Macaca mulatta: one gene and its partners. The protein of the gene in region 2 binds, or shares a complex with, the protein of the main gene of each other region. Links are inferred from orthologs where the notes say so. Each region holds a gene or a part of one and is shown on either strand. Other genes may lie near its edges.

What was found.
Region 1: the proteins of DDN (region 2) and MAGI2 are in contact, whole or in part, in a crystal structure (PDB 6KKG), measured with the Mus musculus proteins. The link is inferred for Macaca mulatta from reciprocal best matches to the Homo sapiens genes DDN and MAGI2. Residues at the interface, in NP_001013763.1 of Mus musculus: Asp222, Arg223, Pro224, Pro225, Pro226, Tyr227, Val228, Ala229, Pro230, Pro231, Ser232, Tyr233, His237, Arg238, Thr239, Leu240, Gly241; in NP_001164217.1 of Mus musculus: Glu308, Met309, Ala310, Tyr311, Thr312, Glu313, Gly315, Tyr318, Ile320, Asp321, His322, Lys325, Thr326, Thr327, Ser328, Trp329, Asp358, Tyr361, Tyr364, Val366, Asp367, His368, Arg371, Arg372, Thr373, Gln374, Phe375.
Region 3: the proteins of DDN (region 2) and WWC1 are in contact, whole or in part, in a crystal structure (PDB 6J69), measured with the Mus musculus proteins. The link is inferred for Macaca mulatta from reciprocal best matches to the Homo sapiens genes DDN and WWC1. Residues at the interface, in NP_001013763.1 of Mus musculus: Tyr227, Val228, Ala229, Pro230, Pro231, Ser232, Tyr233, His237, Arg238, Thr239; in NP_740749.1 of Mus musculus: Glu13, Glu14, Ala15, Arg16, Asp17, Tyr23, Ile25, Asp26, His27, Arg30, Thr31, Thr32, Ser33, Trp34.

The regions. Positions count from the first base shown.
Region 1 is NC_133408.1:140,029,317-140,040,289, reverse strand, and holds the start of MAGI2 (membrane-associated guanylate kinase, WW and PDZ domain-containing protein 2), read right to left. Parts: upstream 5,448-10,973; 5' UTR 5,294-5,447; coding exon of another isoform or gene 5,198-5,293; 5' UTR 4,958-5,197; coding exon 4,657-4,957; intron 1-4,656. Other genes in the region: uncharacterized protein LOC106997532, read left to right, coding at 5,198-5,293. UniProt on the Homo sapiens protein: Seems to act as a scaffold molecule at synaptic junctions by assembling neurotransmitter receptors and cell adhesion proteins. Plays a role in nerve growth factor (NGF)-induced recruitment of RAPGEF2 to late endosomes and neurite outgrowth.
Region 2 is NC_133416.1:56,159,275-56,170,217, forward strand, and holds DDN (dendrin), read right to left. Parts: upstream 5,978-10,943; 5' UTR 5,935-5,977; exon of another isoform or gene 5,890-5,934; coding exon of another isoform or gene 5,681-5,889; intron 5,556-5,680; 5' UTR 5,481-5,555; coding exon 3,339-5,480; 3' UTR 1,761-3,338; downstream 1-1,760. Other genes in the region: PRKAG1 (5'-AMP-activated protein kinase subunit gamma-1), read right to left, coding at 9,861-9,968, 10,120-10,266, 10,529-10,566, 10,728-10,893. UniProt on the Homo sapiens protein: Promotes apoptosis of kidney glomerular podocytes. Podocytes are highly specialized cells essential to the ultrafiltration of blood, resulting in the extraction of urine and the retention of protein.
Region 3 is NC_133411.1:177,312,444-177,321,746, reverse strand, and holds the end of WWC1 (protein KIBRA), read right to left. Parts: coding exon 9,166-9,303; intron 6,334-9,165; coding exon 6,209-6,333; intron 5,237-6,208; coding exon 5,170-5,236; 3' UTR 4,417-5,169; downstream 1-4,416. UniProt on the Homo sapiens protein: Regulator of the Hippo signaling pathway, also known as the Salvador-Warts-Hippo (SWH) pathway.

The DNA of each region.
Region 1 (10,973 bases), on a different chromosome or scaffold from region 2:
ACTCTGTATTAGTCAATCATTTCATATTTTTCAGTTAATGTGAATTGAGTAAAATATCTTGAAAATTAAAAACACCTCATAATGTCACTAGCTCAAAATGACCAATATGTTTGCAATAGCATTTACTAAAATCTACATAATGCTTGTCACCTGCCAGACACTATACGATTTAAATACATAACTTATCTAATATTCTTAAGGTACCATTACTACCCCAGGTTAGTTATCTTGTTCATATAGCTAGCACTAACTGACATACTCAGGAATCAAAACTAGGTGGTCTACTTAGGAGAGTGTACCTTTAACCATTGCTCTACCCCACCTTCTGAGGAAAATGATTCTGCCAGGGTCTGCTATATATTTGAAAATCATTACTTAAACTATAATCAATCAGAGATGTCAAGTGTGAATATGCTTTTCTCATTATGAAAGTGAATTTGTGAGTTACAAGCAATGAAAAGGAAAGTGAGCATAATAAACGTGCCAAAAGATTAAACAGTTCAAATGTCAAGAACAGAGATAGTACAGATAAAAAGCAAATAATCATATTTAACATTTGAGGTCATACCATTTAAGTTATCTACACCTACCAAAAAACTACATTGATATCACTTATAAATTATGCTCCAAGAGAACTGTCTCATTAACCTTGTTAAAAACATTAATGGTACTTTATTTGTAAAATAATAAACTCATCAAAATGTTTAAACAATGTTATTGTTTATTAAACAATACTATTCATATATCTCACATTTTTATGGAAAAAAGTCAATCTTTACAGAAAATTTGACATAATTTGTTTTTACCTTTTCAAATACAAAGAAGTATAGAGATTTGACTCTATTATTTTAGCCTGAAGTCAGTCAAGAAGAAAGTATGACTCTTAATAAATGTGGATCTACTTTCCTTTGAAGGTATCTTTGAAAGGAGCAGTAGGAGGGAGAGCAATGTAGATCTTCTCTAAAACTGAATTTCAAAGGATTTATTTGGCCCATCTTCCACATGGGAAGAATTAGAATTTTTTTTTTTTTTTTTTTTTTTTTTTTTTTTTTTTTTTTGCCTTTTATTTCCCATTGTGAGATCCTAAATGGGAAAATAAGTCCAGGTTATGTAGGTCTTTATGCGGTATTACAGGCATTAGCAGCCATAGTGCAAGGAATGTAGGACACAAAGGCCTGTGTAACTGGCTGCTGTGAACTTTAGTGGCAAACCTTAAAAAAGGGAAAAGAAAAAGGAAAGAAGACCTTTAGCACTTCCATATAGATCTCAACATCACTCAAAAAACTTTCTTCAACTGGGTCTGATGCATTAATGAGATCATAGAATTACTGCTAATTTAGCATTACATCCTTTGGTGCAGAAAGTTTATTATTATAAATAAAATGCCATCATTCATAAAAAGTAATTGGGTGTGACAATAAGCCATATTTTAATATGTGGTTTATTACTGTGTGGATTAAAAGCAGAAAGCTTAAATTAAAAAGAGAATTCCTTGAATTTAATTAAACAGTTTTAAAAATTGTTTTGCAGGTATTTAAACAGTGTAGAAACACTATGATATATATATATATACTATGTAATATGTCTTAAAATCCCAACAACTCACCTCCTTTTAAAATTATGACAGATTAAAATTATGATAACTGTAATGTAAAATTAGGCAAACAAGTGAATAAAAATTGAGTAAATAATGCAATTTTACCTGGTGCACTTAGTAACAATATTCTTATTATTCAAATATTATCTTTTCTTTATAAAATCTTCCTTAAACTATGATATGCATGTAGTTTCTGTATAATACCCAATGTTGGAATGAATATTCAAAAATCAATCTCATTAATGTTTTAAAAATGCAACTGCTAAACAAACATGGTTAAGTTTTTCAGCTATGCTAGTTTTTTGCCTCTCTCAAAATATAACTACTGGGCCAAGAATTTCTAAATGATTTTCCAGTAAAAGACATCTGTATTGAAACCTAAGACACACAGGCACTATAGTAAAGCTTCTGAAATTTTCATTTTATAATCATAAATAAAATTAATCTATGATTTAACAAGGAAAAGATTAGAATAGCAATATGAATCATATTTAAAAGAAAGTACAAGAGAATTACTTAGTCCACACAAGGTAAAAGGAACTTTTTTTTGTTTTGTTTTTTGTCAATAGTGATTCAGGAGATGAATCGGGTTCCTATGGGTTTCTGTGAATATCATTATACAAATTTATCATCAATGAACCAGTGAAGCACGAAATAGGGTTAATATAGAATGAAAAGAGAGTTTCTCCTCAATATATCACTTTATAAGCATATATTCTAGTTTTAAAAGCAATAATCTTCCACATAAAATTCAATACAAGAGTGATCACAGACCACATTAGATCGAATTATGGCAGGATTCAAATAATATCGAATCCAGGTCCTCATCTTATATAGGAATCCGTGGCATATGATCATTTCAGCTTCTTCATGGATACCCACAATGATGGGAACTTCATCACAGGGTGCTCACAAATTGTTGGAAAACTCTGTTAGAAAGCTCATGATTTAATCAAAGTAAAGCGGCTTCATCCTTTAAAATTTCTCATAGATTTATCACCATTTTGTCCTGTGGGCTATCACAGGATAGTCAGAATTCCTTTTCTTACCTGATAGCTTTTCGCTATTTAATGATAGCTTTTATTCTCACTTCTCCAAGTTAAGTCCACTGCGTTTCATAGAATACATCTATAATACACAATAATCTTTCTTTCTCTTTTGAATTTACTCTTTGCTAATGTGAGTTTGCCAACATCCTCCTCAACCAGGCGTGCTCAGAATTGAACACAACATTTAAGATGTGGTGATCATTGCAAACTATAATAGGGCATCCCTTTGTAGGACTCTATTAAGTCCAATTTAATAACACTTAACTTTTGCAGCCATGTTCCACGACAAATACCAAGCATTTGGCCAACAAAACGATGCTCATTAGTTGCGTAGTGGACTTTTTGTACCCAAAGATCTTAACATTTATATCTATTCCTATAAGGTATTATTTTCACGTCGAACATGTTAACATGAAGCTTTGTATTTGAACCTTAGGTATCTTATCTTCAAAAATATCAAGATACTCTATTTTCTTTTCTACCAAACTCATATCCCTTCAGTGTTGTATAGTATGGAGCTACGTTGACTTATAATAGCTATCTCAATTAATTAATACTCTTAATACTCAAGAATCCCCAAGAAAAACATTTTCTTGTATGGCAATTTACATTTGAGAAATTTTGTCCAAGACTCCTTTTTCTCTTGTTTACTTTAAAACAAGTTTTTTAGAGAATAATTTTACAGTGCAGTACATCTCCGTAAGAGCGTTTCTTGGTAGTTGATCACGATTAAGTGGCAAAATGCAGGTAATGACATGCTCAATTCCACCTTTGAGTAAGGACAAACAGTGTAACATCGACGACAACAACAACAACAAACCCTTAGGCTGATATGCCTGTGCCACAAATATCCATACATACCGCACATGAATTGTGCAGTGAGGAAAAAAAAAAAAAAAAAAAAAAAAGCTACTACTTTATTCTACTTAAAGTTGTCCTCTATTCAAACTTTTATCTCACTCTTCTCTCCTTCTGCACCATAATTTTCTTTCAAGCAAAGACAGAGAGTTCTGGATGATTCCAGTCTCTCCAAATCTACATCACAGCCTCCAATCGAGGTTCTTTAAAGTCAGGTTGGAGCTGAGGGAGCCTGGGCTGGAACCAGCAAGGGTTTCATCCAGCTCCTCCTCCAAAACACGCCCCCCAAATCGGAGCCAGAGGAGAGCCCAACCACAGAGAACTTCCACTCTATGAGGGCAACCTCTGAGTAAAGTCCTGCCTACAACCATTCATCTCCTCCGACCCCCGCCCAGCACTAGACCGCGCTCCTAGCACCGCGCCTTCTTCCGGAGCCTCCTCCGCTGGGCTGGCTAGGGGTGAGCGCAGGGGTTAGTCAGTGCGCACGTGACGCGCGATGCCCACATGACAAGACCGTGGGCGGGGGAGGGGGACAGCGGAGCGAAGAAGGGGAAAAGTTACAGAAGACCCGTCAAATCGCCCAAAGCAATTTGTCTCTTCCCTTCCTCGCCAGCAGTGGCTCACGGATCCCTAAGGGACAGCTGGGAACCCAGGCGTCTCCAGCCCAGCCCCAGAAACGCTGGACGCAGTTCTCCGCTCACCCCACCACCCTCTCTTCCCAGACCCGCTGGTGATGCCGCTGCACCCTAAAGTTGCTCCTTCCTTCTTTCTCTCCCTTCCTCCCTTTCCTTGTTTCTTTCTTTCCTTCCTTCATTCCCCAAAAGCTCTTCATCCACTTAGGGTGATGCCACTGACGCACATTCAATTTGCCCCAGGATCTCTGAGGAGGTCAGACCAGGCCGAGCACCTTCCAAAGGGGAGGGTCTAACTGAGCAAACAAAGTTGCACGCCACACCGCAACCTGCCCCTCCCCTCCCTTTAGCCCCCAAGTGGAATCCCCGGCGAAACTCATTTGCACTGCGGGTCCCCTCTGGCCCCTACCCCATCATCGCGCAACACACCCCTTTCAACATGCGCGCCCACCCTTTCATTGCCCTGCGCCCCGAGCGGTCCCACCGCCCGGCAAAACACTGAGCAAGCCGCTGCGCTCACCTTGCTTGACACACTTGAGCCGGAGGGGGTCCTTGCAGTGTTTGATCACGGCCAGCACGTCCCTGATGGTGAGCCCCGCCACGGGGGTCTCGTTCACCTCCAGCAGCAGCTCCTCCGACACCAACTTGCTGCCGCTCTCATAGGCCACCTTTCCGGGCTTCACCTCCCCCAGGTAGGGGAACTGTCCATTCTCGGCGCCCCCCTTCAGTTCAAAGCCCAGCTGGCCCTCCGGGTTCCTGCCAATGACACTCTCATGGACTTTGCTAGTCCAGTGGCTTTTCTTTTTCAAGCTTTTGGACATGGCAGTGGGGTGAGTCGCCTCAGTTCCTGGGGCTCCTTGGGGTTAGGGGGGTTGGTGGTGAGAGAATGAGGATGGAGGAGCAAGGGGGCCCAGGGGGAAGAACAGCAGACTTTGCCTTCTCCCCCCTCTATTCGGTGCTTTCCCTCTTCTTTGGATGGAGTGTGGACGAGGAAGGGGGAGGATGAGAGGGACGGCTGGGCAGAGGTAGGAGAGCTTGGGTGAGGTTGTGCTGTCCCTTGAATGACACTCAAGGCTGTGGCCCCGCAGCAGAGGAAGCGGTGGTGGTGGCGTCGGCGGCGGCGGCGGCGGCAGCGGGAGCTAGCAGTAACCGAGCTGGTGAGCGGGTGCGGTGGGGGTGGGGAAGGAGGGTAGGGATGCCGGGGGCCACTCCTGCGTGGTGCGAGTGGGAACGCGCGCGCGCGCCTGGGTGTGTGTTGTTAGCTGATATCCATGGCAGCTGCAGTGGCAGGGTGCGTGTGCGTGTGTGTGTACTAGTTGTACTGTACTGGCATAGGGGAGGAGGCAGGGGAGGAGGGGCGCGCGCGCCGGGTGGGGAGCCAGGGAGGGCTTCGCCGCTGCCTCCCTCCCTCCCTCCGCAGCTTGACCCGGTAGTGAAGGCAGAGAGAGAGGCAGGCTGGGTCCGCCTGGCAGCCTACGGGAGGAGGCGGGAGCCGGGAAGGAGGGGAGCCGAGGCCCGGCGTGGGGAGGCCGGCAGGAAGGGCCTCGAGCCAGTGCGGACCTTTCTTCAGCCTCTGTGCCGCCGAGCCGCGCGCCAGGCTGCTGTGCGAGGAGGACGCGCTGACTTCCTCCGACCTGGGCTCCTATGGAGCAGAACTAGCGGGACCTGGACTTTGGCGCTCCTGGTGCCACATCTTGGGCTCTGCGAGCCTCCTGGCGCGGGATCCTGCCGTGAGAAGGAACTGGGGCGGGGGACCCGGCGGGGCATTGCGGGAGAAGGCCTGGGAGCCCTGGGAGACTTGTGGCCTGGGGGAGTTCACTGTGTAGAGAGGTTTCATGTCTTCCTCTATACAGTCACTTATTTGTCTCAAAGTTCTCGAAATTCCCTCTTAGAGAAGGAGAAAGTTAGAGAACTGGAGGCTGCGTACCCTGATTGCGCAGAGGGGAAGCAGCCTCGCGTTCCCCCGGGCAGGCCCCCTCCCGCGCGTCCCGCCAGTAGGGGAATTTCGCGGAGGGTTGCGGTAGTCTAGTGAAAGGCTATCCAAGGGTAAGGGGCTTCGCTTTTCCCAAGCAGGGGAAACAGAAAGGGTCTACAGGGCTAGGGGTGGAGGTAACGGATGCAATGAGCAGCCTCCGCAGAGAAAATGGACAATTTAACTAGGGACCTGCGGCCGAGAGAAGGCAGAGGCGCTCCCCTGCCCATGAAAGCCACCAGAGTCGGCTTGTACCTGGGGAAGAAACCTTAAGACGATCTGGCCCAACACTCCTTTAGTCACAGAGAAAGGGGAGAAGGCTCCCGAGAGTGAAAATGGCACAGTCGGAGCTGGAACTCAGCTCGCTGACCCCAACCAGTGTTCCCTTCTTTTCGCCAGGTTTGCATCCAGGAGAGGGGAGGATAGGGGCAAAAAAGGATGCAGGGAGGCTGCTGATTTCCACAGGAGAGCTATTTTCTGTGAGACATTAACAGTGATTTTTTTTTTTAATTCCTGTAACTGGTAAATGAATTTCATTTGCTTAACTTTTAAATGATATGTTTCAGACAAAAAAAAAGTTGCACACCCACTTATCTCTTTAAGGCAGAGGATGAAAAGCACTGAACAGGTAGGATTCTTAATGTCTGAGATGAAGGTGATGTCGGAGGCAAACAGTACAGTTAAAAATGTTGAGTCGACACAAACAGAAACACCAGGTTTCAATCCAAACTCTACTGCTTACTGAGAATGTGATCTTGAGTAAACTGACTTTCCTGAGCCTCAGCTTTCTTAGTTGTTAAATGGACTTTAAAAATACTAATCTGTTAAGACTGTGATGAGAATGAAATCAGGGAAAGCAGGCACAGCAGTGCTCTCCTGGCACAGGTGAGTAGGCGTCCGAAATGATAATTCCCTTCCTCTTTCCCTCAGGTATAACTTACTACTTGGGGATGAGGGGGATCAAATGTAGTCAGAACTGGAAGAGATCTTAAAGATGATTTGTTTAACCTTGTGTCTTTTTTCACTTGAGAAAACAGATCCTCCATAAGTTGGCTGCACTAGTGAAGCTTATTCAGTAAGCCAGGGGCAGTGCCAGGATCTGAAGCCAGATCTGCAAGCAATGCCCAGGAGTAGGCAAGACTTGATAGCAAAGCCTAATCTCACCCAGAGAAGTTGAGTGTTAGCATTATGAGGCATAGTTCTAAATAGAAACTCATTATGAGAACCGAATATTTATATTGTAAAACCAAATGGCAAGCTACCATTCATGGAAGATACTAATATTTATTAGGTTCTAACTACATGCTAGATGTTGTTCTATAGGCTTTACACATAATACTTCATTTCTCCTGACATTTTGATAAAGTAGGTACTGTTATCTCCTTTTACAGGTAAGGAAACTGAGGTATACAAGGATGAACTTTTGCAAGGCTACAAATCTAGTTAATGGTGAAGGTAACATTCAGACCCAAGTGGTTCAGCTCTAGACTTTGTCTCAGTTACTGAATTGAACTCTCTGTTCACTTACCATGTGTCATACCAGCTCTCAGTATGTAGTGTCCCAAAAGATTGGGCCTGCACTTTCTTTCAGGGGGCAATTAGGAAAAAAGTAAACAAATGGAGCAGGATTTGGGCATAACAGCATGCTTCTCCCATCCCCCAAATCCCAGAAGTGTCACTGGGGTGTGTGCCAGTTAATTTAGCACTCTTCAACTTCACAGCCACCCTTCTTTGCCCTAAATTGTGACATTAGAGTTGAAATCTGTAAACGTCTTTATGGTCAGTTGGCACAATGTTTAGGTTTGTCAATAGAAGGTGCTAAGGAAACACTGCAGAAAGAAAGGGGCTCCTTTTCTTGGTTCCAGTGCTTTCCTGCTTGCTCCTACGGTGTGGTGGCCAGTGAGTGACTTTCTGACCAGTGGTGTGCAGGAAGGCCATGTTACATAATCTTCAGTAAATTTGGCCAGTTCCCTAGTGTGTGTCTTTCTATGGAGTGCTGCTGGCATGTCAGTGGAATGGCTTCCTAGCAAGTTTTACTGAAAACACAGCTGATGGTTTCCTCAGCAGCCCAGTGTGTGACACCTTAAATTTCTGGATCATTAAGTGGACCACAGCCATATTATTTCCAATGAGGTCCTACTCTCAGGCTTAGTAGGGTGGCGGGTGGGTAGGGGGAAGTTCTTCTTAGTTATTCTCTCTTTGGGTACTCTCCTGTAGCCTGACAGATAGTGACTATTCCCAACAATCACTATTGCTGTGTTCTTTAGTGGGCTTTTTCCCTCTCCTAATAGTTAACACGCTTTGACTGGATCTTGATTGATAAAAGTTGAACCCTGAGGAAAGCACTATCCTTGGAGTCAGAAATTGGGATCAGACTATATTTTTTCTCTCTATTTTGGTATTCCTCACATTCACTTTATTTACCCTTTTTGGATTTTATGCTATGTCAAGAAAAAATTATTTCATCACTAAGCACTCCAAGTGTAGAGCAGAACGCTAAATATTGCATACTATTCCAGAAGAAAAATAGTTTAGGAATCCTAAAAGCCAAAGAAAGAAAGATATGAATGCATTCAGTTCTTAGAAGAGTTCTATGGGATAGATGCTTGTGGCAGACATGGTCTCCACCCAAATCTCCTAGGATCCCTTTGGTTGAACTGAGTATCCTTCCTCTAGCTTCTGCATTCTTTTGCTTCTTGCAGGCTTCCCCGAGACTCTCTTTGGAGGAATGCCCAAACACTACTAGACCCACTTTGTCTACTGACTCAGAGAGCCAGACAAAACCACCTGCAAGTTTACTTCTTTCCCAAGATGCCCTTTGCCAAGGACTTTCCTATAGAGTATAAAAGACCAGCCCTCTTGCCTCTAGTAGCAAGAAAACCTGAGGTGTAATTTACACTCTGAGACTCCCCTGTAGAATTATATTGATGTTAGGATTTTGCCTGAAACCTCCTTCCCTATCTTGCTTACTGTGGTACATGATTAGTTTTTCCCGATAGCATTTCTATAATAAATCACTTGCAGAAACAATCTTCATCTCAGAGTTTGATCCTGGCGATCCTGACTTAAGACATTGCTATTCTTTCTTTGTTTCTTTTTTTTTTTTTTTTTTTTCTTTTACAGATGAGGAAACTGAGGATCAGGGCTTTTAAATTGCCGCAAATCACACTACCAATAGGAGGTAGAGTTGTGGTACCTTTTTTAGAGGGACCATTATTTTGCTGACTACAGTACTGTAGGGCATACAGTGTCTTATCCACACTGTTTCTGAGTCCAGTCTGTCAATATCAGTACTCCACGATTATTGTGTTTGTTTTTCTTTCTCCCTTTTATCTCAAAAATCTCTATTGTGATGCAAGAGACCTTTCTGAAACCTCTCCTTTTTTCTGTGTTTAAAACCGCCCAGTGCCGCCCAATAAATACACAGCAAAGTCCAAACTCCTTATCCTCCTTGGATCCTCCTTCCCACACTTTTTAACTGTTCAGCCATATTTCTGCATGTACTCTGAGACTGGAATCCAGGGCAACAAAGCTAATGTGGGTTCTCCAAGATTAACACAAATGAAAGGAGGCCCCTTTATGCCATCTATTCTAGGTTCCTTGGAATATAATTAAAACAGGAATTTCAACATTGAAATGTAATTATGTTCAGATAAGGACAGTAAGGTACAGTGGCTTGAGCCAATCTCCCACCATGTCTGGGGACTGGGACAGCTGACCCAGGTGTCCTACCTAAGGCTCAGGCCTGTGTCTTCACTTCTCCTTTCAACCCTTTACTTCTTCCAAAGCTGAACGCCTTACTTTCCTTGGCTCACTAGGCCATTTCATGGTTTGTGTTTGCCCGAAATGCAACCCTTTCCCTGCCTGCTCACCCTCAAAGAAATACCTCTGGGCCCACTTTCTTTCTTGGAAGCATTTTATGATTCTCATTTCTGTTACCAACACAGCTTTTATTTATGTCTCCATGTATCCTTTGCAGAAACACAACTTTCCAGGTTCTATGTTTTATTTGCATTCTTAGTGTCTGGCACATTGTCTGACACAGTGTAAAAGCTCAGTAGAATTTTGCCTGATAGCAGATGTGTCTAAAGTGAGGGTGTCCAAAATTTCATTAAATGACCACTGCTTTAATATGAATTCTTGGTTAAGGCAGGAGAATCGCTTGAACCTGGGAGGCAGAGGTTGTGGTCAGCTGAGATCTCACCACTGCAATCCAGCCTGGTGACAAAGGGAGACTCTGTCTAAAAAAAAGAAAAAAAAAAGAAAAAAAAAAGAAAGAATATATATATATATATATATACACATATTTTCTTTCTATAAAAATATATATATGAATTCTTACTGATAGTATTAAACGATTATCTCTTTACACTCATAGTAATGTCTTACAATAACAGAATGCAGGAGAGCACATATCAATGAAGAAAAGACAAAATATACTTATCCATGAAACTGAGGTTAAGAAACCAGTGTCTTCAAGAGCTGGGGACAGCTCTGCATAAACACTGGGTCTATGCAGACTTGAGAGATAGTGATGACATGGTGAGACACAAACTCGATCTATTTCATAGTTCGTCTGTGATCATTCCTATTAATAAACTTATTTTCACAACTGTTTCAATATTCACACAAAAATGTTAACCCAATCTGCAATTATACCCCTTGAATGTAAAATAAAACAAAAGCCCACAAAAAAAAAAAATGAATCCACACTTAAAAGGTGGATTTATTTAGCACAGTATGGAGTTTCTTAGACTTCTCTGCCACTGTCTCTAACAATGACATACTCAACCCCACAAAAGTAGCTTTATTTTGTCTCTAGTTTTCATCTGCAAATTCATGTGGATTTTAAATTCTACCCTTTT
Region 2 (10,943 bases):
CCTTCGCTTCCCAGGTTCAAGTGATTCTTGTGCCTCAACCTCCCCCATAGCTGGGATCACAGGCATGCACTACTATACCCAGCTAATTTTTGTATTTTTCATAGAGGTAGGGTTGGACCATGTTGGCCAGGCTGGTCCTGGTCTCAGGTGATCTGTTCATCTTAGCCTCCGAAAGTGCTGGGATTACAGGTGTGAGCCACCACACACCGCCCTTCCTCAACTTTCCTCCTCCCCCGAAGTCCAGCCTCTTCCCAAGCCTGGAGGCCCAAGGCACATTACTCCTCAGCTGGACCAGGCTTACCCCAGTCTGGCCTCAGTTTTCACTCTTGCCTTATCTTCCACAACTGCCATTAATGTACTCGCAGCTGCAGGCAAATCAGACCATTGAGCAGTTTCCTAAACATACCCTGCTTACCTGCATCCATGCCTCTATTTTGGCTGATCCCTCTACTTGAAATACCTCTTCACCAAATTCTAACGCTGAGGTCATCTCCTCCATGGAGCCTTCCCTTATCTCACAAAATCCATACAGTCTCCCTTGTTTGACTCATTGTAATACTTGACACATTGCTCACCTTCACCCCATTGTCAGAAAGGCCTTACTCATCCCTATCCTGGACTCCCGCACAGTTTCTTGTTTCCAGTAGGTGCTCAGTACATGCTCAGTAGTTAGAATTGGTAGTAGGTAGATAGAATTGTAAGTGAAAGGAAGACAGATCTCAATAACCGTTGTTTGTTTTTTTGAGTAGATAGAATTGTAGGTGAAAGGGAGACGGATCTCAATAACCTTTGTTTGTTTGTTTTTTTGAGATGTGGTCTGGCTGTGTTGCCCAGGCCGGAGTGCAGAGGCCCAATCTTGGCTGATTGCAACCTCCTCCTCCCAGGTTCAAGTGATTCAGCGATTCTCGTGCCTTAGCCTCCTGAGTGGCTAGAATTACAGGTGCGTGCCACCACACCTGGCTAATTTTTGTATATTTGGTAGAGACGGAGTTTCACCATATTGGAGGCTGGTCTGGAATTCCTGACCTCAAGGGCAGATCTCAGTAACCTTTGATCTCTGCCCAAGGTGACACTCCTCCAGCAAGAGCTAATTTGAAACCTGGTAGTGTGGGTTCCAGGAAGGCTCTGGGATGAATCTTCCTGGATAGCTCTGACCAGTGTCTTCCCTCCGGTTCAGAAACCCAAAGAGGAGACCTTCCTCCACTGAACCAAGGCCAGCGGCCCAGCTCCTGCCAGATGGTGGCCACCCCCCACCCCAGGTGGTCCTGTGCCACTCCGAGTTCTGCTCAGAGTACCCCTGGTTGCAGGCGGGAGTGATGTTGAGATAATTGGAGACTAAAACCATAAGTGGTTTGAGAGCGGGGTTGGGGACCTGAACGCTGAGCGGGAGTTGGAGTTGGCAGGTCTGGGTTGGAGTGGGAGCAGAGGTGGGCCGGGGGCCGGGGCAGGACCCGGCGACTGAGTCTGGGAGAAGCCCCCGGGCCCGCGGAGCCGGCAGCTAAATTTATCCCGGCTGACTCAGCCCTTGCTCGGAATGGGGGGCCGGGGGAGGGCGCAGGGCAGTGGGAAGTGCCAACAGGGGTGGGCTGGGGGCAAGGAAGGGAGAGTCCTGGCTGGGGGAGAAAAGAGGTGGGCCAGGAACTCCCAACGAAGAAAGCAGCCCCCTCTCCCTCACACAGAGCAGGACATAGCAGAGGAGTCCTGGGGGATGGCCACCATGGGGAAAAGGTCAGTGAAAGGAAGACCATGCCAAGGCTGGATAAAGGGAAGCTTAGATTTATTGAGCGCCTACTGTGTGCCAGGCGGTGTGCAAGGCGCTTTACATACATTATCGCATTAAGTCCTCACAACAACCCTGCGAGGTAGGTGTTTATAAACCCCCATTTGACAGATGAGGAAACTGAGGCTCAGGGAGGTGAAGTGATGCGGCCAAGTTCACATGGCTAATAAATGGCAGACAGAGGTGTCCAAGGATCGGAGAGAAAAAAAAAGACTTCGGTGTCTGAGTCCCAAGCCGGCTGGGGTGGATGAGTACAAAGATGGGACCGGCGGGCTCCAGAGGTCTGGGAGGCCGGAGGCCTGCTCCCGGCCCAGCACGGCTGGAGACTGCAAGGCTGGGGACCCGCGCTTGGGAACTAGGGATCGGATTGAGTGGCAGAGCCGGAATTAGCAACTGGGGAGATCCGCGACCTGCGCGCGCCCTGTAGTGGCTATAGAGAGTATCACACCCCACGCCCACTGGCTTCTGGGGACCGGCCTCTTTCCTTGCGTGGCCAGTTTCTTCGGAAGAGGCCGAGATGGGAGACATTCTCAGGATTTTTTCAGGTGGGCGATACCACCTGGGAGGGAAATCGTGGCCACGCCTCAGAGCATCACTAAGGAGCATTAGGGTGGAGGAAAAGGGGAAGGCCTAAAGAGGTCCCAAGCTGATTCATTGGTGTCCTTCCCTCCCCAGCTCAGACCACCACAGGCCAGGGTCAGTGACAGGGCCACTATCTTGCCCTGCTTTGGGGAGCCCTCACCTAAACCTGGGAGACTGGGATAGGAGTGCCTCACTCCCTTACCTCTTCTGCAAACCTTGGGCAGTCTCCTGAATTGATCATGACTTCAGGTGACAAGGAGGCCGCCCAGAAACCCTCAAACTCTGTTCACTTATTCCCAACTCTCATTCTTGGCTTGTCGAGGGGAGGATGAGATAGAGTCCTTTCCAAAGATCTCAAAATGTCAGAGATGGAAGGATGGACCTTAGAATACCATTGTTTTATATACCAGGAGGCCTGGAGAGGGAAAGTGACAGGCCTCAGTCAACCAGCAAGTCAGTGGCAGAGTTGGGATTGAAATCCAAGACTTGTGACACCAAGGTGAGCCCTCCTTCTGCTTTGCTGGTTGTTGCTGGACCTATTCCTCTTCTGCCAAGAACCCCTCTGTCATCTGGTCACTCTGCCACCGGGTCCAAAGCCTCTCCTTCACTTTTTCCCTCCTCCTCAGAGGCCCTGCCCTACACTGCCCTCCTATAGCTGCCACCACCCCTGCCCTCCTGCCTGATCCTTGTTAGGCCTCTCTGCTCAGCTCCGCACCCAGTGCATCAGCTGCGAAGAGCTCACCCTTGTGTCCTGAACATAACAGACATTAATTAAATCTACTGCTGATTCTCACCTCTCCTGAAACAAAATCATTAATGGGCATATGCTTCCCTTCCTTTCATTTATATTTCAAGGATGGGAATAGGTATGGGTAAGGATACAAGGAAAAGAGAAGCAAAGGAAGTCTGGGGAAGAATGGGGACCAGTGGACCCAAGGATGGATGTGTTGGGGACTCAAATACAAGAAGGGGCCTCTCACTGCCTCTTCCTATTTCCCTGTTGAGTCCCCCTGATGTCCCTCACCCCGAAGAGGACCTCCTCGGTTTGGCTTATGACATCTAGGATCTCTCCGACACTGTCGCTCAGTTCCGCTGTCTTCCCATCTTCCTCCGGCGAACTGTTTCCAACCCCGGGCAGGGTCCTCTCATTCCGCCAGGAGGCGCCTGGGGCTTCTGTGTCGCTTCCATCAGAGGAGCCGCTATGGACGCTAAGCTCCTCAGCTTCGTCCGTGTCCGAGTCAGGGGCGGTGTGGCGGCGGATACGGGACACGGCTTCTCGCAGGGCCCCGGCGTAGGGCCCTGGGGTCCGCGCCCAGCCCCGGCCCGCGCGCCGCTGGACCACCGCCACTTCCGAGCCCTCGGCCCTGCCCTGGGCTCCCGAAGCTCCTGGGCCTAAGGCTTGGTGCTCTGGGCTACCTGGCTGCGTGGGGGCGTCCCGCAGGTTTACTTCCGGGGCCGGGAGCCCCAAGATGCGGGAGGTGCGCTCCTCCAGTGAGGAGTGCCCCGACCTCCCGCCCTCAGCTTCGCCCCCGCGGCCCCCGCCGGGCTGGTGTAAAAGGCGACTGTTCGACAGCCGCTTTCGGCAAGGGGAAGGAAAGACCGTGGCCCCTTCACTCTCCTCCTTGCCGGGCTTCGATTGGCTGGCGGATTCCCCCACCACGCGTGTCACCCCAGAGGGCAAAAGCTGCACCTGCTGGGTTCGGGGGGTTGGAACATATTGGGATCGTATCACCACGCACGTGGCGTCAATGACAAAGACTCCTTCCCCACGGGACGGGCCCTGGGAACTGCGGGGCAAGGTGTGGGCACGGCGGGTCGCCTTCCAACCCTCCAGGGTCTCCGGTCCTGCCCCCTCTGCAAGACCCAGGGATTCTCTCCATCCGGTGCCTCCGGGAGCCCAGGGTCTGGGGAGTGTCTGGCTATGGCGGGGCGGCTGCTTTTTAGGGGAGGGAATCCAGCATTTAGGGAACCAGATCTGTTCTTTTCCTTCTTTCCCTTCCCTCGAGCCCTTGAGGTGGTGCCTGGATCTGGGAGCGGGACGCGGGGCACTGGGAGCCGCAGTTGCAGACCCCGCAGGAGTTGTCTCGGTGCCTGCGCTCCCTGTAGCTTTGGCTTGGGGATGGCTGTCGCTACCACTGTTCAAGTCAGCAGCAGCCAGCCCCAGGCTTTTCTCCACGACCCCCTTGCCGGGCTCTGGCCTTGCTCTGGCCGCTCCACAGCCTGGGGATCCCCCCAAGAGACCTTGCCCCTGTCGGAGACCCCAAGCCCCGAGGACGTCCCGGTAGATCCGAGGATCCAGCCTCTTCTTTGTGCGCCCTCCCTCTGTCCTGGCCGGAGTCGGAGGTGGGGCTGATGAAGTGGGCACCTGGGAGTGTCCGGGGCCTCTCTTAGTCCCCAAGGTCCTATGGGGGCCTTCGTAAGAAGGTGGAGCCACGTAGGGTGGCGGCCGGTCCCAGCGGCGTCGCGGGGCGGTCCCGGCAGAACCTCTCAGCAGCAGGTGAGCCTCGTAGCTTGGGGGCCCCGGCCGCCGACCTCCCCAGGGCCCCGCCCACGCCGACCCTGGGTCGCTCTGCGGCTGCGCGGATGGACGGGGCGCTCGCCCCACCAGCGCCAGGCGCTCCGGCCGCAAGGTAGCAGGGAGCCCTGCCGGCTGGGCTGCCCGAGGGGCGTTGCGGGGCTCCGGGCGGGGCCGACCCGGGGGGCTTCGTCGGGCCCCACCAGCCTTGCGCCTTTTTCGCTCGGTCTCCTTGGCCTCCCGCTCCTGCGACGCCGCTTTCCTTTTCTCTTGCTCCCGAGCTCGGACCTCGGCCAGGGGCCCCGCCCGCCAGTTGGTCGCCTCCTGCAGCACCCTGGAGGCCCAGGGCCGGCGGGGCGGCGGCTGTGGGGATCCCGGGCGCGGCCCACACCTGGGACAATGAGCAGGAACCCAGGTGAGCAGTCTGTGGGGGAAGGGAGCCGAGGTCCGGGGAGCTGGGAGCAGTGGAGACCACTTGGGGCAGCCATGTGAAGGGGTGTGTGTGAGTGTGTGCGCGTGTGCACGTGCGTATATGTTAGGACTGAAGTCGAAGCGGGACTCCTCGCCATCTCTGCCTGCACACTTTAACAGCGTCTGCCCCATCTCACCTCCTGCCCTTTCTCACACCCACTCCTGTTCCCCCAAACAACCGGATGAGTCAGGCCCCAGCCTTCGGGAGCGGGCAGGGGTGGGAGGCGTGGGAAAGAGAAGGGGGATCAGTAGTGCTCGCTGGTGCCTGCGGGGTGGTCCGGACCCCACTCCCCGCCCCACCACTCTCTTCCCCTCACCCCTGCTTCACTCACGTGCGGTTCTGGAACCCGCGAGCCCAGTGGCTGGCCTGGAAGTCCATGGGCTGTCGAGAAGGGGCGCGGCGACTATAATGACAGGAAATAGTCTTCACTTCTATCACCAATAGCTTGGACTTCTGCACCCAGAGGCAGCTGCCAGACTCCTCATCCTGGAGCTCCCGGGGGCTGTCAGGCCCCTCGGAGAACAGTGGGCCATCCAGCATCCTGCCCCACCCCACCCCGGCCCCCCACCCTCCCACCCGCCCCAGGAGCCCCCTCCCAGCCCAGGGAGCCGGCGCCCACTGCAGAGCCGCGGGCCCGGGGACTGGGAACTATATATACCCGGGCACACGTGTGTGTGCCTGTCTCTGTGTGTGCGCGCGCATGTGACACCGCGCGGACTGCTCCGCGCTGCTACCTCCCCCATGTGCACGGCCGCCCCCTGGGGCCCGGGATTGGACGCCCCTTCCCACTGCTGTTGTCCCCCAAGCCTGATGGGATCGCACGAGTGGGCGGGGGAGGGACTTATGATTCTTGCCAAGCTGACAGTGCCCCCTCCCCCGTCCCTGTTTCTTCAACCTTCCTGCCGTTTTAACCCTTTACTCTCCTGCTTGTCAGGTTGCCTGACCACCAGGGTTCTGCCCCTGGCTTCCTGCCTCAGATTTCAGTTTCCCCAACATAGAGTGCGTGAGAATGGAACTCAAGGTCTCTGCCTGCCACTCTGCTGGTTTCCATGGGGTTGGGGTGCAGGAGGGGCTGGCCCACGGCTGGGGGGCTATTTTTAGCGGCAGTGGCTGTTCGGGTGCAGAGATGAGATGAGTAACCAGCTCCCATGCGGTGGAGAGAGGAGGCGGTGGCTTTCACCAAGCTTTGTGCGACTCTGAGGGAGAGCTGCCTTCCCTAAGCTCAAAAAGGGTGACCCCTACACCCGTATCTCCTCGCCAGCTCAGTGCTGCAGCCTAGGATTGCTGGTACAGCAGGACACAGGCGTGTGCCTTGGCCACCCAAGCTGCCCTACCAGTCCCATTCTACGTTTGTCCTTGGGCAGCCAGGGAGCCCTCCCACAGCAGCAGGCTTTCACCTCCAATTTAGAAGCAGGATTTGGGGGTTATATTGTTCTGTGCCCACACAGCCTGCCCAGCTTTATGGAGGACAGAGTAAGTGCTTATGCACTCTCACCCTTCCAGAGGGGGATGGAGGAGAGATGGTGTGTTTGCTTGGCAAAACTAATCCCCTAGCAACTGAAATGATAAAAGTGGCCTTTTTTTTTTTTTTCCCCAATGTAGAGCTCCCCCTCACCACAACAATTGCCTAGTTCACTCAGCCCCCACCTGAAGTGGTGCTCCAGATGCTCACCTTTGGGCTGCCTCTGTCCTGGGGGGCTGTTGCTTACATCCACATGATCCCTCCTCCTAAGCTTATACCAGGTGTCCCCTGATTCACCATGGTAATGTTAGTGGCAGCACAGCCCACGCCAACCCTTCCATGCAGAGACTTAGCAACCATGCCTGGCAACCATGGCAGCAGCCTCAGTGGAGGGGAGGGGTGCAGAGAGGGGAAAGAGAGTGTGTGTGTGGCAATGGTTCCTCGGGAAGAAGGGATAATTTGCCTCTGGAGAGGAATAGGTAAGAATAGAAGCTTGTGAGTCTCCCAAATTTTATCCCTTGTCTCTCCCTCAGCTTCATCCTCACACTGAGACTGATAGGTTGGGTTTTAGGGGCAAATCAGAGAAGCAAGAGTTCCCAATTAGTTTTCCACTAATGTACATGGAGCCCTTTGGGTCCAGACCCTTCCTTTTAAGGGGATGGGGAACAACCAGAAAGGTTGTCGTGGGGCAGAGACTGACTGACTAACAGCTCAACAAAACCAGGCCTCTGCTCCCTAACACAAACCTTTAGAGAGAATGCAAACATTCCCTGTCCCATCCACCCTACCCCCCTTGATTCCACACACCTGCCAGCTGCACCGATGACTTGACTCGAAGGTGCTTCCTTCCACCCTAGGTCCCACTAGAATCCTGAGGCTTTTTAAAGCCCCTGCCTCCTCCCTAGGCAAATCTTCCTTAATGAGGGAATGTGACATAAGAGGCCATCTGTCCTTTCCACCATGTACTTACCCTCCCCACACATAAACATACTCTAATTCTAATAACTTGGAAGCCTTCCTCCCCCAAGTTTGAGAATGTGCTGTGAGAGCTGTAAAGGGGTGAAGGCTGAAGCAGGGGCTCCTCTACAGTCATGATGCAACACTGAAAGCAGAGCTCTGATGAGGGCCACCTTCTTTTTTTAAAATAAGCTTCCTCAGGTCGAATCTGATGAGGGCCTTGATGCTTTTCCCTGTGTTCCATCGGGAAGCCTAGTTTGGAGAACCCAGTATGCCGTGGCTGGAGGGTCATCAGAGGGGTTAGGCACTGTCAGGGAAGGGGTTAGCAGCACTGTGGGGGAAGGGGCAAGCAATGACTCTGAAATTGCTCCTGGTTTGGATAGGAAACTGTATCATACCTGTAAGGCAGGGGTTAGCTGGCACCCAAATTTAGCTCATACTCCAGTCTAGCAGTTCTGGTGTTGGGTGCTGACTGCTGTTTGGGTCTACATGGTTTCAGTACAGGGAATGGATCTGATGGAGTGACCAGTGCCCTGCTGTTCTCCCACCATCCAGCTCTGTCTCACCTTGGAAGAAAGGCAAGGGATTTGCAGGTTTAAAGATAGTGCCAACGGGGTACGGTGGCTCATGCCTATAATCCCAGCACTTTGGGAGGCTGTGGTAGGTGGATCACAAAGTCAGGAGTTTGCGACCAGCCTGGCCAATATGGGTGAAACTCTGTCTTTACTAAAAAATACAAAAATTAGCCAGGTGTGGTGGTGCGCGCCTGTAATCCCAGCTACTCAGGAGGCTGAGGCAGGAGAATCGCTTGAACCTAGGAGGCAGAGGTTGCAGTGAGCTGAGACTGCGCCACTGCACTCCAACCTGGGCAACAGAGCGAGATTCCATCTCAAAAAAAAAAAAAAAAAAAAATAGTGCCAACTCAGCAAAAGCCAAACAGTCCAACCTTCCTTAAGAAAAGCTGATAATGGTGGCAGGATTCTCTGCCCAAAGGAGACCCTCAAGTCTGTCTACTCTTGGGAGTAGACACTAACACTGTTACAGGATTTTCCTTGGGTACCAGCCATGATTCAGGCAGAGGGGAAAGTGAGATAGAAAGGAGGAACCACAGGGTAAGGAGTAGTTGTGAAAGAATTAGAAGTCGGAAGTCTACTGTAGCAGTAAAGACTGTTTGGGTTCAAATCCTAGCTCCATTTTTTTTTTTACTAGCTGTGTGGTCTTGGGTTAGTTACCCAGCCTCTCTGTGCCTCCATTTTTTAAAATCTGTAAAAAACTGGAATAGTGTCTACTATTGTTCTGAGGATTAGTTAATATATGTAAAGCACTGAGAATGATGTCTGGCACACAGTTTTGTGTGTGTACGTGTGTGTGTGTGTGTACACACGTTATTATTAATGACCAGTTGAAGAAGCCATATAAAGTAGGACAGTAGTATCCATCAACTGTAAAAATCAAACACTGCAATACCATGAAGAGATAGCTGTCATTTAATTAGATTTGCCACAAAAAGCAATAACCTTAGCTAATCACGCTGCCCTCCTCCTCCACCTAACCCCCATCTCCCTTCATATGCACAAACACAGGAACCCAAAGCCCCTCCTCCCCACAATCCTCCCCACTCACATTATGGGAAGAAATGTCACTAAATGGACTTAGCCTCCTCCATATAGCATGGAACAGGTGAATAAAAATATCTTTATGAAGAATTTTGTTGTGCTGTTATCTTAGGGTTGAATCAGGGCTGAGATGGAGGCAGAGGCAAGTGAGGTCTGGGGATCTCTTAGAGATCAGGATTTGTCTGAGAGGCACAGAGCCTATAGTTCACCCAGAAAGGGGGCTATGTCTAAGAAGACAGGGGCTAGAATTGGCTAGGCTGAAAGTTTTTTCAAGTGTATGTGTGAGGGTAAGGGTAGCTATAAATCCATTCTCCTTCCTCCCCCTATACCTTCCCTAGCTCCCAGATAGAAGGGCAGGGGGCCCTGAGCAGGGAACAGAGTCACAATTCCCCCAAGTTTCATCTGATTCCCACAGAGCTTCCAGCAGGCAGTGAGTTGGGCATATCCCCTGGTGCTGCCTGACCCCTTCCCCCAGCTCAGGGCTTCTTCTCTCCACCTGTGAGCACCAGGGCCTGCAGGATGTCAGACAGTGATACAATTCCCTTGACCACATCATTTTCATCCACCACTACAAGTCGGTGAACCTGGCACAGAACAACAAGGGAAAAAGGGAATGTTTAGTGCTGGCCTCAGCACTGGAATGCTGGAATGTTTAGCTCTGCCCCTACTCTCCTTGCCAAACCCCACTCTCAAGGTTGCTCCCCTCAGCTCCTTTAGGGTTGCTGGCCTCCCTACCTCTGCTTCCACTAGCCTGTTGATGATGGTCTCCAGAGTCTCATGCAGGTAGCACTTGAGAACACCCTCAAAGTAATGTGATCGATGTTGCAGGGCTTTAGTCACAGATACATCTAGGTTGTTGTAAGTCTTTTCTGCTGCCAGATTCTGGGGAGACAGAGGAAGGAGCTTGCAGGGAAGCAAGAAAGCCAGCCTCCAAACCCTGAACCCATCCAACCTCACCAGAGGGATTCAGGGCAATTGTCAGCCACAAGGCATACCCAACTCATTCAATTCCTTTTCAAATAGGATTTGAAAGCCTGGAAGCTTCTAAGACCCTGAGATCACAGAAGAGACTCCCTTCTCCCTCTCCATATTTAATAGCACCCCCCACCCTTCCCTACCTCCCAAACCCTCCAAAATCACTCACGATAACATCAAACTTGGAGTAGATGTCCACCACACGCCCTAGGGGGACAGAGGCAGCTCAGTAAGGAGGATCTGGGGTCTAAAGCTCCCCCTACTCACAGAATCACCCTCCTGGCTAAGCTGAGGGGAAAACAGATTTTCCCGGAGCCACCCTGACTTGCCTGGATCTTCCCTCCCTCTCCTTCTGCCCAATCTCTCACCCTTCTCGTCCACCACTGGCAAGGCTGAGACTCGATGCTGTACAAAAATCCCCAGAGCCACATAGACGGGGGTGGTAGTGCGAACCATAGCAATATTGGCATAGGTGCCAATCTGCAGCTCTTCCAGAGACTTGGACATGAACTCTGGCTTGGGGAACTCAGTGATCTGAGGAAAGAACCATCAGCTTAATTTTCAAGGCACCCAAAGCCACCCTT
Region 3 (9,303 bases), on a different chromosome or scaffold from region 2:
TGATGGTAGTTTGTATTTCTGTGGGTTCGGTGGTAATATCCCCTTTATCATTTTTAATTGCGTCGATTTGATTCTTCTCTCTTTTCTTCTTTATTAGTCTTGTTAGAACAAGAACATTTATTTTTGTTAGAACAAAAGTCAATTTTGTTGATCTTTTCAAAAATCCAGCTCCTGGATTCATAGATTTTTTGGAGGGTTTTTTGTGTCTCTATCTCCTTCAGTTCTGCTCTGATCTTAGTTATTTCTTGCCTTCTGCTAGCTTTTGAATGTGTTTGCTCTCGCTTCTCTAGTTCTTTTAATTTTGATGTTAGGGTGTCAATTTTAGATCTTTCCTGCTTTTTCTTGTGGGCATTTAGTGCTATAAATTTCCCTCTACACACTGCTTTAAATGTGTCCCAGAGATTCTGGTATATTGTATCTTTGTTCTCATTGGTTTCAAAGAACATCTTTATTTCTGCCTTCATTTTGTTATGTACCCAGTAGTCATTCAGGAGCAGGTTGTTCAGTTTCCATATAGTTGAGTGGTTTTGATTGAGTTTCTTAGTCCTGAGTTCTAGTTTGATTGCACTGTGGTCTGAGAGACAGTTTGTTATAATTTCTGTTCTTTTACATTTGCTGAGGAGTGCTTTACTTCCAACTATGTGGTCAATTTTGGAATAAGTGTGATGTGGTGCTGAGAAGAATGTATATTCTGTTGATTTGGGGTGGAGAGTTCTGTAGATGTCTATTAGGTCTGCTTGGTGCAGAGCTGAGTTCAATTCCTGGATATCCTTGTTAACGTTCTGTCTTGTTGATCTAATGTTGACAGTGGGGTATTAAAGTCTCCCATTATTATTGGGTGTGAGTCTAAGTCTCTTTGTAAGTCTCTAAGGACTTGCTTTATGAATCTGGGTGCTCCTGTATTGGGTGCATATATATTTAGGATAGTTAGCTCTTCCTGATGAATTGATCCCTTTACCATTATGTAATGGCCTTCGTTGTCTCTTTTGATCTTTGATGGTTTAAAGTCTGTTTTATCAGAGACTAGGATTGCAACCCCTGCTTTCTTTGTTTTCCATCTGCTTGGTAGATCTTCCTCCATCCCTTTATTTTGAGCCTATGTGTGTCTCTGCATGTGAGATGGGTCTCCTGAATATAGCAAACTGATGGGTCTTGACTCTTTATCCAGTTTGCCAGTCTGGGTCTTTTAATTGGATCATTTAGTCCATTTACATTTAAGGTGAATATTGTTATGTGTGAACTTGATCCTGTCATTATGATTATTTTGCTCGCTAGTTGATGCAGTTTCTTCCTACCATCGATGGACTTTACATTTTGACATGTTTTTGCAATGGCTGGTACCTGTTGTTCCTTTCCATGTTTAGTGCTTCCTTCAGAATCTCTTGTAGGGCAGGCCTGGTGGTGACAAAATCTCTAAGCATTTGCTTGTCTGTAAAGGATTTTATTTCCCCTTCACTTATGAAACTTAGTTTGGCTGGAGATGAAATTCTGGGTTTAAAATTCTTTTCTTTAAGAATGTTGAATATTGGCCCCCACTCTCTTCTGGCTTGGAGAATTTCTGCCGAGATATCTGCTGTTAGTCTGATGGGCTTCCCTTTGTGTGTAACCCGACCTTTCTCTCTGGCTGCCCTTTAACATTTTTTCCTTCATTTCAACTTTGGTGAATCTGACAATTATGTGTCTTGGAGTTGCTCTTCTCGAGGAGTATCTTTGTGGCGTTCTCTGTATTTCCTGAATTTGAATGTTGGCCTGCCTTACTAGGTTGGGGGAGTTCTCCTGGATGATATCCTGCAGAGTGTTTTCCAACTTGGTTCCATTTTCCCCGTCACTTTCAGGCACACCAATCAAACGTAGATTTGGTCTTTTCACATAATCCCATATTTCTTGGAGGCTTTGTTCATTTCTTTTTACGCTTTTTTCTCTACACTTCTCTTCTTGCTTCATTTCATTCATTTGATCTTCAATCGCTGATACTCTTTCTTCTAGTTGATCGAGTCAGTTACTGAAGCTTGTGCATTTGTCATGTAGTTCTTGTGTTATGGTTTTCATCTCTATCAGTTCTTTTTTTTTTTTTTTTGAGACAGAGTCTCGCTCTGTCGCCCAGGCTGGAGTGCAGTGGCCGGATCTCAGCTCACTGCAAGCTCTGCCTCCTGGGTTTACGCCATTCTCCTGCCTCAGCCTCCCGAGTAGCTGGGACTACAGGCGCCCGCCACCTCGCCCGGCTAGTTTTTTTTTGTACTTTTTAGTAGAGACGGGGTTTCACCGTGTTAGCCAGGATGGTCTCGATCTCCTGACCTCATGATCCGCCCGTCTCGGCCTCCCAGAGTGCTGGGATTACAGGCTTGAGCCACCGCGCCCGGCCTCGTCTCTATCAGTTCTTTTAAGGTCTTCTCTGCATTGATTATTCTAGTTATCCATTCATCCATTCTTTTTTCAAGGTTTTTAGTTTCTTTGCGCTGGTTACGTAGTTCCTCCTTTAGCTCTGAGAAGTTTGATTGATCGAAGCCTTCTTCTCTCAACTCGTCAAAGTCATTCTCTGTCCAGCTTTGTTCCGTTGCTGGTGATGAGCTGTGTTCCTTTGGAGGGGGAGATGCACTCTGATTTTTTGAATTTCCAGCTTTTCTGCATTCTTTTTCCCCATCTTTGTGGTTTTCTCTGCCTTTGGTCTTTGATGATGGGGACGTACTGATGGGGTTTTGGTGTGGGTGTCCTTTCTGTTTGTTAGTTTTCCATCTAACAGTCAAGACCCTCAGCTGTAGGTCTGTTGGAGTTTGCTTAAGGTCCACTCCAGACGCTGTTTTCCTGGGTATCAGCAGCGGAGGCTGCAGAAGATAGAATATTGCTGAACAGCGAGTGTTGCTGTGGGTGTACCCCACTGTGTGAGGTGTGAGGTGTCGGTCTGCACCTAGTGGGGGATGTCTCCCAAGTTAGGCTACTCAGGGGTCAGGGACCCACTTGAGCAGGCAGTCTGTCCGTTCTCAGATCTCAACCTCTGTGCTAGGAGATCCACTGCTCTCTTCAAAGCTGTCAGACAGGGGCATTTACCTCTGCTGAGGTTTCTGCTGCTTTTTGTTTAGCTATGCCCTGTCCCCAGAGGAGGAGTCTACAGTGGCAGACTGGCCTCCTTGAGCTGTGGTGGCCTGCACCCAATTCAAGCTTCCCAGCGGCTTTGTTTACCTACTTAAGCCTCAGCAATGGCAGATGCCCCTCCCCCAGCCTCGCTGCCACCTTGCAGTTAGATCTCAGACTGCTGTGCTAGCAATGAGGGAGGCTCCGTGGGCATGGGACCCTCTGGGCCAGGTGTGGGATATAATCTCTTGGTGTGCCATTTGCTACCCTTGGCAAAGCGCAGTATTAGGGTGGGAGTTACCCAATTTTCCAGGTGTTGTGTGTCTCAATTTCCTTTGGCTAGGAAAAGGAATTCCCTTCCCTCTTGAGCTTCCCAGGTGAGGCAATGCCTTGCCCTGCTTCTGCTCTTGCTGGTCGGGCTGCACCCACGGACCAGCGTCAACTGTCCGACACGCCCCAGTGAGATGAACCCAGTATCTCAGTTGAAAATGCAGAAATCACCCGTCTTCTGTGTCGCTCACACTGGGAGCTGGAGCCTGGAGCTGTTCCTATTCGGCCATCTTGGGCACGCCCTTTTTTTTCTTTTTTATTTTTGAGAGTCTCGCTCTGTCGCCCAGGCTGGAGTGCAGTGGCGCAATGTTGGCTCACTGCAAGCTCCACCTCCGGGGTTCACGTCATTCTGCCTCAGCCTCCCGAGGAGCTGGGCCTACAGGTGCCCACTACCACGCCCAGCTAATTTTTTGTATTTTTAGTAGAGACAGGGTCTCACTGTGTTAGCCAGGATGGTCTCAATAGTCCGTATATTTAATAGGCTGCCCCAGGTGATTCTGATACAGCTGGTGCAACATGCTTTGCTGGGTGGTGCAACAGACTTTGAGAAAAGTTGCACAGGGTAATGTCAGAGAGAAAGGAGGAAGAGATTTGTGGTTGTTGCTATTTGTTAGAAGCTGACTTCTGATTGTCTGCAATAGACCCTGGTAGGGATAGGGGCCACAGGAGCAGCATGAAGCACAAGCTGTAGCATCTACTACCCCTGGGTTGGGGATGACACAGAATGATGCTCATATGAAGAAATGGTGAAGTCAGCTCTCATTGGGTGGGGTGGAATTCCATAGAAGGAGACAGTACAGAGAGCATATCCCCAATCTAACTTGGGCATGTGGATTCCCAATGAGCCGAGCCGTCATTTTAATTTAATGAGCAAATGAAAACAGTGGGCAAAAGAAAAAAATAAACGTTTCCAGGACTCAGGATGGGTGGGAAAGAAATGACTGGAAAGGGGAGACTCAAAAATCAGGGAAACAGATGAAGTGAGGGGTAGGAAAGAAAAAGAGAGCAAGAGGAAGATTCTTTTTGAAAGGCCACTTTATTGATGGAGATAAAACTTAATGGAGCTCCCCACAGCCCTCCCCTCACTCATGTTAGTGGCTTCACTGGGCATCTGAGACCAGCGTGGCCTGTTACCCACATAGACTGGGCTGCTTAGCCCGCCCAGTCTATCACACCGCCCGCTCCACGTTGGGCAGCCACATAAAAACACGTCACAGCTCAAGAAGATCCATGGATGCACCTCTGAATCCCTCCCCCCAACAATGGATTCTGTGCATTTTTTTAATATTGTACAAAATATGTTAACTAGGAAAAGTTAGCTGTACTGTGACAAGTGCGGGACGTCCTATTAGGATTACCGTCCCCCAGGCATTACTTCTTATTGCAGTAAGACCTCTAAAAGGTGGAGCTGTACAAACTGAAAAAAATCTAAACGATTTTAAGAAGAGCAGCAACTCAATACTGCTTTAGTTCATTTAAATTTTCTTTCCCAAAAATACACTCCTAAATATACAAACTATACAATCTTATTATTTTAATGCTGGTTTTTTTTTTTGTTTCTGTTTTTTTTTGTGTGTGTGTGTTTTGTTTTTGTTCTGTTTTTAATAACAACAGTAGGACCCAAACTAAAAAATCAGTTCATCTTCAAACCAACAAGAGCACTAGAGGACTTGTGACTCAGTACCTTCATATAACACCACATAAATAACTTTAGCCACAGTCAATGTTCACAGCCTGGTCAGTGGAACAAAAGAAATACTTTTCTGGCGATTAGACATCATCTGCAGAGAGAGCTGGGATATTCATCCGAGGCCGGGTGAAAAATGCCATCTTCTCCCTATAAGAGAGACCATCCCTTTAGAGCAGGAGCAGGGGTTTTCAACCTTACTCTGCTGAGATTCTGGGCAGGATAATTCTTTGTCATGGGGGCTGTCCTATACATTCACTGTAGAATGTTTAGCAACATCCTTGGCCTCTACCCTCTAGACGCTGGCCGTATCCTTGACCTCCAGTTACGACAACCCAAAATGCATGCTCATTGCCAAATGTTCCAGGGGCAAGGGGAGAAATCACGCCTGGTTGAGAACCACTGCTTTAAAGACCATTAGCATGAACAATGACCTTTAGTTCAAATCAAATCAGAGGCTTTTCAGAGTTTGGCCACTTCCAATGTTTGTTTGTTTTAGATTCTCAATTTGTTCAAAAGTTAAGAGATGCCCAAAGATAGTTGTACAAATGTACATTTTAAATGTTTATATTCCACAAAGGAATTTTTTTTTAGCACATACACAACATGTGTACCTTATCTGAGAGGACATCAGAAGTCTAAATGCTAGGGCCTCCGTGGATGGGAGGCCCAGGCCAAATGGCATTTGGGACCCTCTGAGAATACATCCGGGTCCAGCATGGCAAGAAAGCACCTCCCTGGGATCCTAGCAGGTGGCAGGCAGAGCCAGGGAGGCCCAGCGAGCATCCATCACCCACAGGCTTATTTATCATTCAGCCAACCCTCCACAATTACCAGTGATGAAAACACTACGAGGAAAGGCTGGAGCAGGTGGCTTATTCATTAAACAAGAGGATCTAACAAATTAGCTCGAGTTGTGTGGGGACTGATAAAGACAGCTGGGGGAAGAGTGCTGCAGAGCTCATGGATCGCCAGGGATGGCTTGGCGGAGGATGAACATCTGTTACAGAGAAAGCCAGTGCTCTGTGAGCAAGGGATGGGAGCAGTAAGACCACAGACAGAAGACTAAGGCCATGGGTTGGCTGAGAAAGGGAGAGGGGGCTGTCGGGGCCCTCTGCTTACCTGAAAGACTGCACTTCTGGGGGCTCCTTACAGCTCTGGCCTCGGAGCCTGTGCACATCCTTGGCAGCTGCCCTCATCATCTTGTCTGTCTGAAGCTCACCCTTGTGCTCTGCTTGGTCCATCTGCTGGGCAAAGCAAGCAGGGCCCTGAGTCAGTGGAGGGGTCCTCCAGAAAGGGGCAAGGAGAACTCCCTATCACAATAGAGGGGGCTCCTGTAGGGATGGCACCCTCACTCCTGCTCCCCGTGGGATCCACTTCTTTCAGAACCATAATGGGAAGTGCTCAAATCATCTGTTTGAGTGAGTAGATTTTTGGGGCCAGGAAACAGAATACCTGTGTGGATCTGAGGAATTGAGGAGATGAGGGCTGCCTGGTGAAATGTGTACTACCTCTAATCCTCAGGCCACTCAGGAAGGTAGACATTATTACCTCTATTTTACCCAGGGAACTGAGGCTCCAGCATAGTAAGAAATTTCTTTAGGCCGGGCGCGGTGGCTCAAGCCTGTAATCCCAGCACTTTGGGAGGCCGAGACGGGCGAATCACGAGGTCAGGAGATCGAGACCATCCTGGCTAACACGGTGAAACCCCGTCTCTACTAAAAATACAAAAACTAGCCGGGTGAGGTGGCGGGCGCCTGTAGTCCCAGCTACTGGGGAGGCTGAGGCAGGAGAATGGCGTAAACCCGGGAGGCGGAGGTTGCAGTGAGCTGAGATCCGGCCACTGCACTCCAGCCTGGACGACAGAGCCAGAATCCGTCTCAAAAAAAAAAAAAAAAAAAAAAGAAATTTCTTTAATGTCAGACTACTAAGAAGTGGTAGAAACCCAGTCCCAAGCCATGCAGTAGTTCTTAAGAGGCTTGGGTATAACACTATGTCCCTTCCTCCTAATGTAAATGTATACAAACACTTTTGAGAACAAACCACAGACAGCCCTAAAATAGCCATGTACCATATACTTGAAAACATTGCACAAAGACAGAATTTTGGTAAATAAAGCCATCATTTCAATGGTTCTTTGTTAGAAGTCATAGATGTTACCTTTTTTTTTTTTTTTTAACTATTTGAAAGGTCAAGTTTTCTCAGTTTGTTTTTCTTAAGTCAGGGCACGTATTACTTCTCAGTCTTTTGACTAAGATCAAGTGTTAAGGTAGGGCACATAGGCACTTGTTTTCTGATCTCTTTTTGCCTTGGCTACCAGGAAGCTCAAAGATCAATATAATAACTAACTATTATTAGGTTACTTTAGGTTTGGGATATATTTATTTCCTCTCCTCCATCAAGCCTTCCAATTTTCTATTTTCCCCTCAATGCTCTTGTTATAATCCTGTTTATAAGTAAACAGGGTATAAATAAGAAAGAAATAAACTTTTCTGGAACTTCAGAGCTGCCAGAGTCAGTCTGAAGCTCCCACATCAGTCCAGGCCTAAGAAGTCCAGCATCATCTTCCTGCCGTAGGGCATCACCACCTGCCCTGAGCACTGAGATTTCAGCTGATGGTCCTGACGGTTCAGGTAGGCACCCTCTGTAAGGTACTCTCAGCGAGTCTGGCTGTGTGCAGAGAGAACTAGCAAAGGTCTTTCTTGCCGTGGGTGGTGATCACAGAGTGGCAGGTGTTATTTTTCATAAAGGGGTAGAGAATGGCCCTTGGATACTGGCCCTACATTGTTTCTTCATGGCAGTGCGGGACCTGTTGGGACCTTAAAAGCCTGCTAGTGCCACACTCAAATTTTTACCCTTCCAGTTGTTTTAAATATAGCTCAAATAAGCAACTTTTAAATATACAACCTTCCAGTTTTGCATACCCTGTGAAATTGTACCCAACATTTGCTAGCCATAGATAAAGCCTGGGCCTGTAAGAGACCCCGAGCTGCTGCTGTGCTTTGGAGTTCCCTGACCCAGAGACTCCCCATCGTCCTGCAGAGCTACCTAACCTAGATGGCCCCTCTTCCCCAGCTCTCCCCTGGGAGTTCCCTTGCCTTCCTCCACACCGGGCAGTAGCCCCCAGCACCTTTGGAAGGTCTCATGCTGTGAGGGGCTTCCCCGGCATGCAAACCTGTCAAAGTGTAGCCCAAGCCAGGCACGCCGGCTCACGCCTGTAATCCCAGCACTTTGGGAGGCCGAGGTGGGTTGATTGAGCCCAGGAGTTCGAGACCAGCCTGGGCAACGTGGTGAAACCCCATCTCTACAGAAAATACAAAAATTAGCCGGGCATATTGGTATGCACCTGTCATCCCAGTTACTCAGGAGGCTAAGGTGGGAGGATCGATAGAGCCTGGGAGATAGAGGTTGCAGTGAGCCATCATGCCACCACCCTCCAGCCTGGGCGACAGAGAGAAAACATGTCTTCCAAAAAAAAAAAAAAAAAAAAAAAAGCACAGCTAATATAAAACTTGTGTGCTAACACCATTTTGAGGTTATATTTTTCTCCTTGATCAACCCCTAAATCCCTTAAACTTATTATAGCAGGGCAGAGGTGCCAGCAGACTTGTACTCCAGGGCACGCTTGTTAGCAGAAGGCCCTGGTGTGACCAGCCCTTCTCCTCCTTTGGCAAGGGCTGCCCTGTGGGATTTCCTGGGCAGGCACCGAGGCAGGTCAGTGTCCTATTGTTACTCTGTTAAAGTGTGTGCTGTGGCACAGATTGGGTCCCCAATGTATTTCATGAAGAGCTGCATGATGAGTACATGTGTGAACAGTAAGGGCTTGCATACAAAAACACATCAACAAGTGCAGTAAATGGGCCTTGCAGCCAGGTGAAAGGTTCATAACGTCGAGTAGGCAAAGGGATTCCTGGATCCCTCTGCTGATGGGAACGAGTGATGGGTGGAACACCCTCAGTGGAAGCTGTGGTGGGAATTGTAGGATGCATCATGAGCTCTGGCCTCTCTTCCCTGGGGCAGTGGCCCCTGACTCTTTGGGGCAGAGCGCAGGGCTCCCCTGCCTTCGAGGCTGCACTCACCCGCTTCTCCAGCATCCTCAGCAGCAGGCGGAAACGCTCGTCCTCACGCAACCACTGCGGCAGCTCCTTCTCCCCGTGGCTCTTAGCTTGTTCCAGCTGCTCCTTGAGCTCCTTCAGCACCGAGATCTCCTGGGTCAG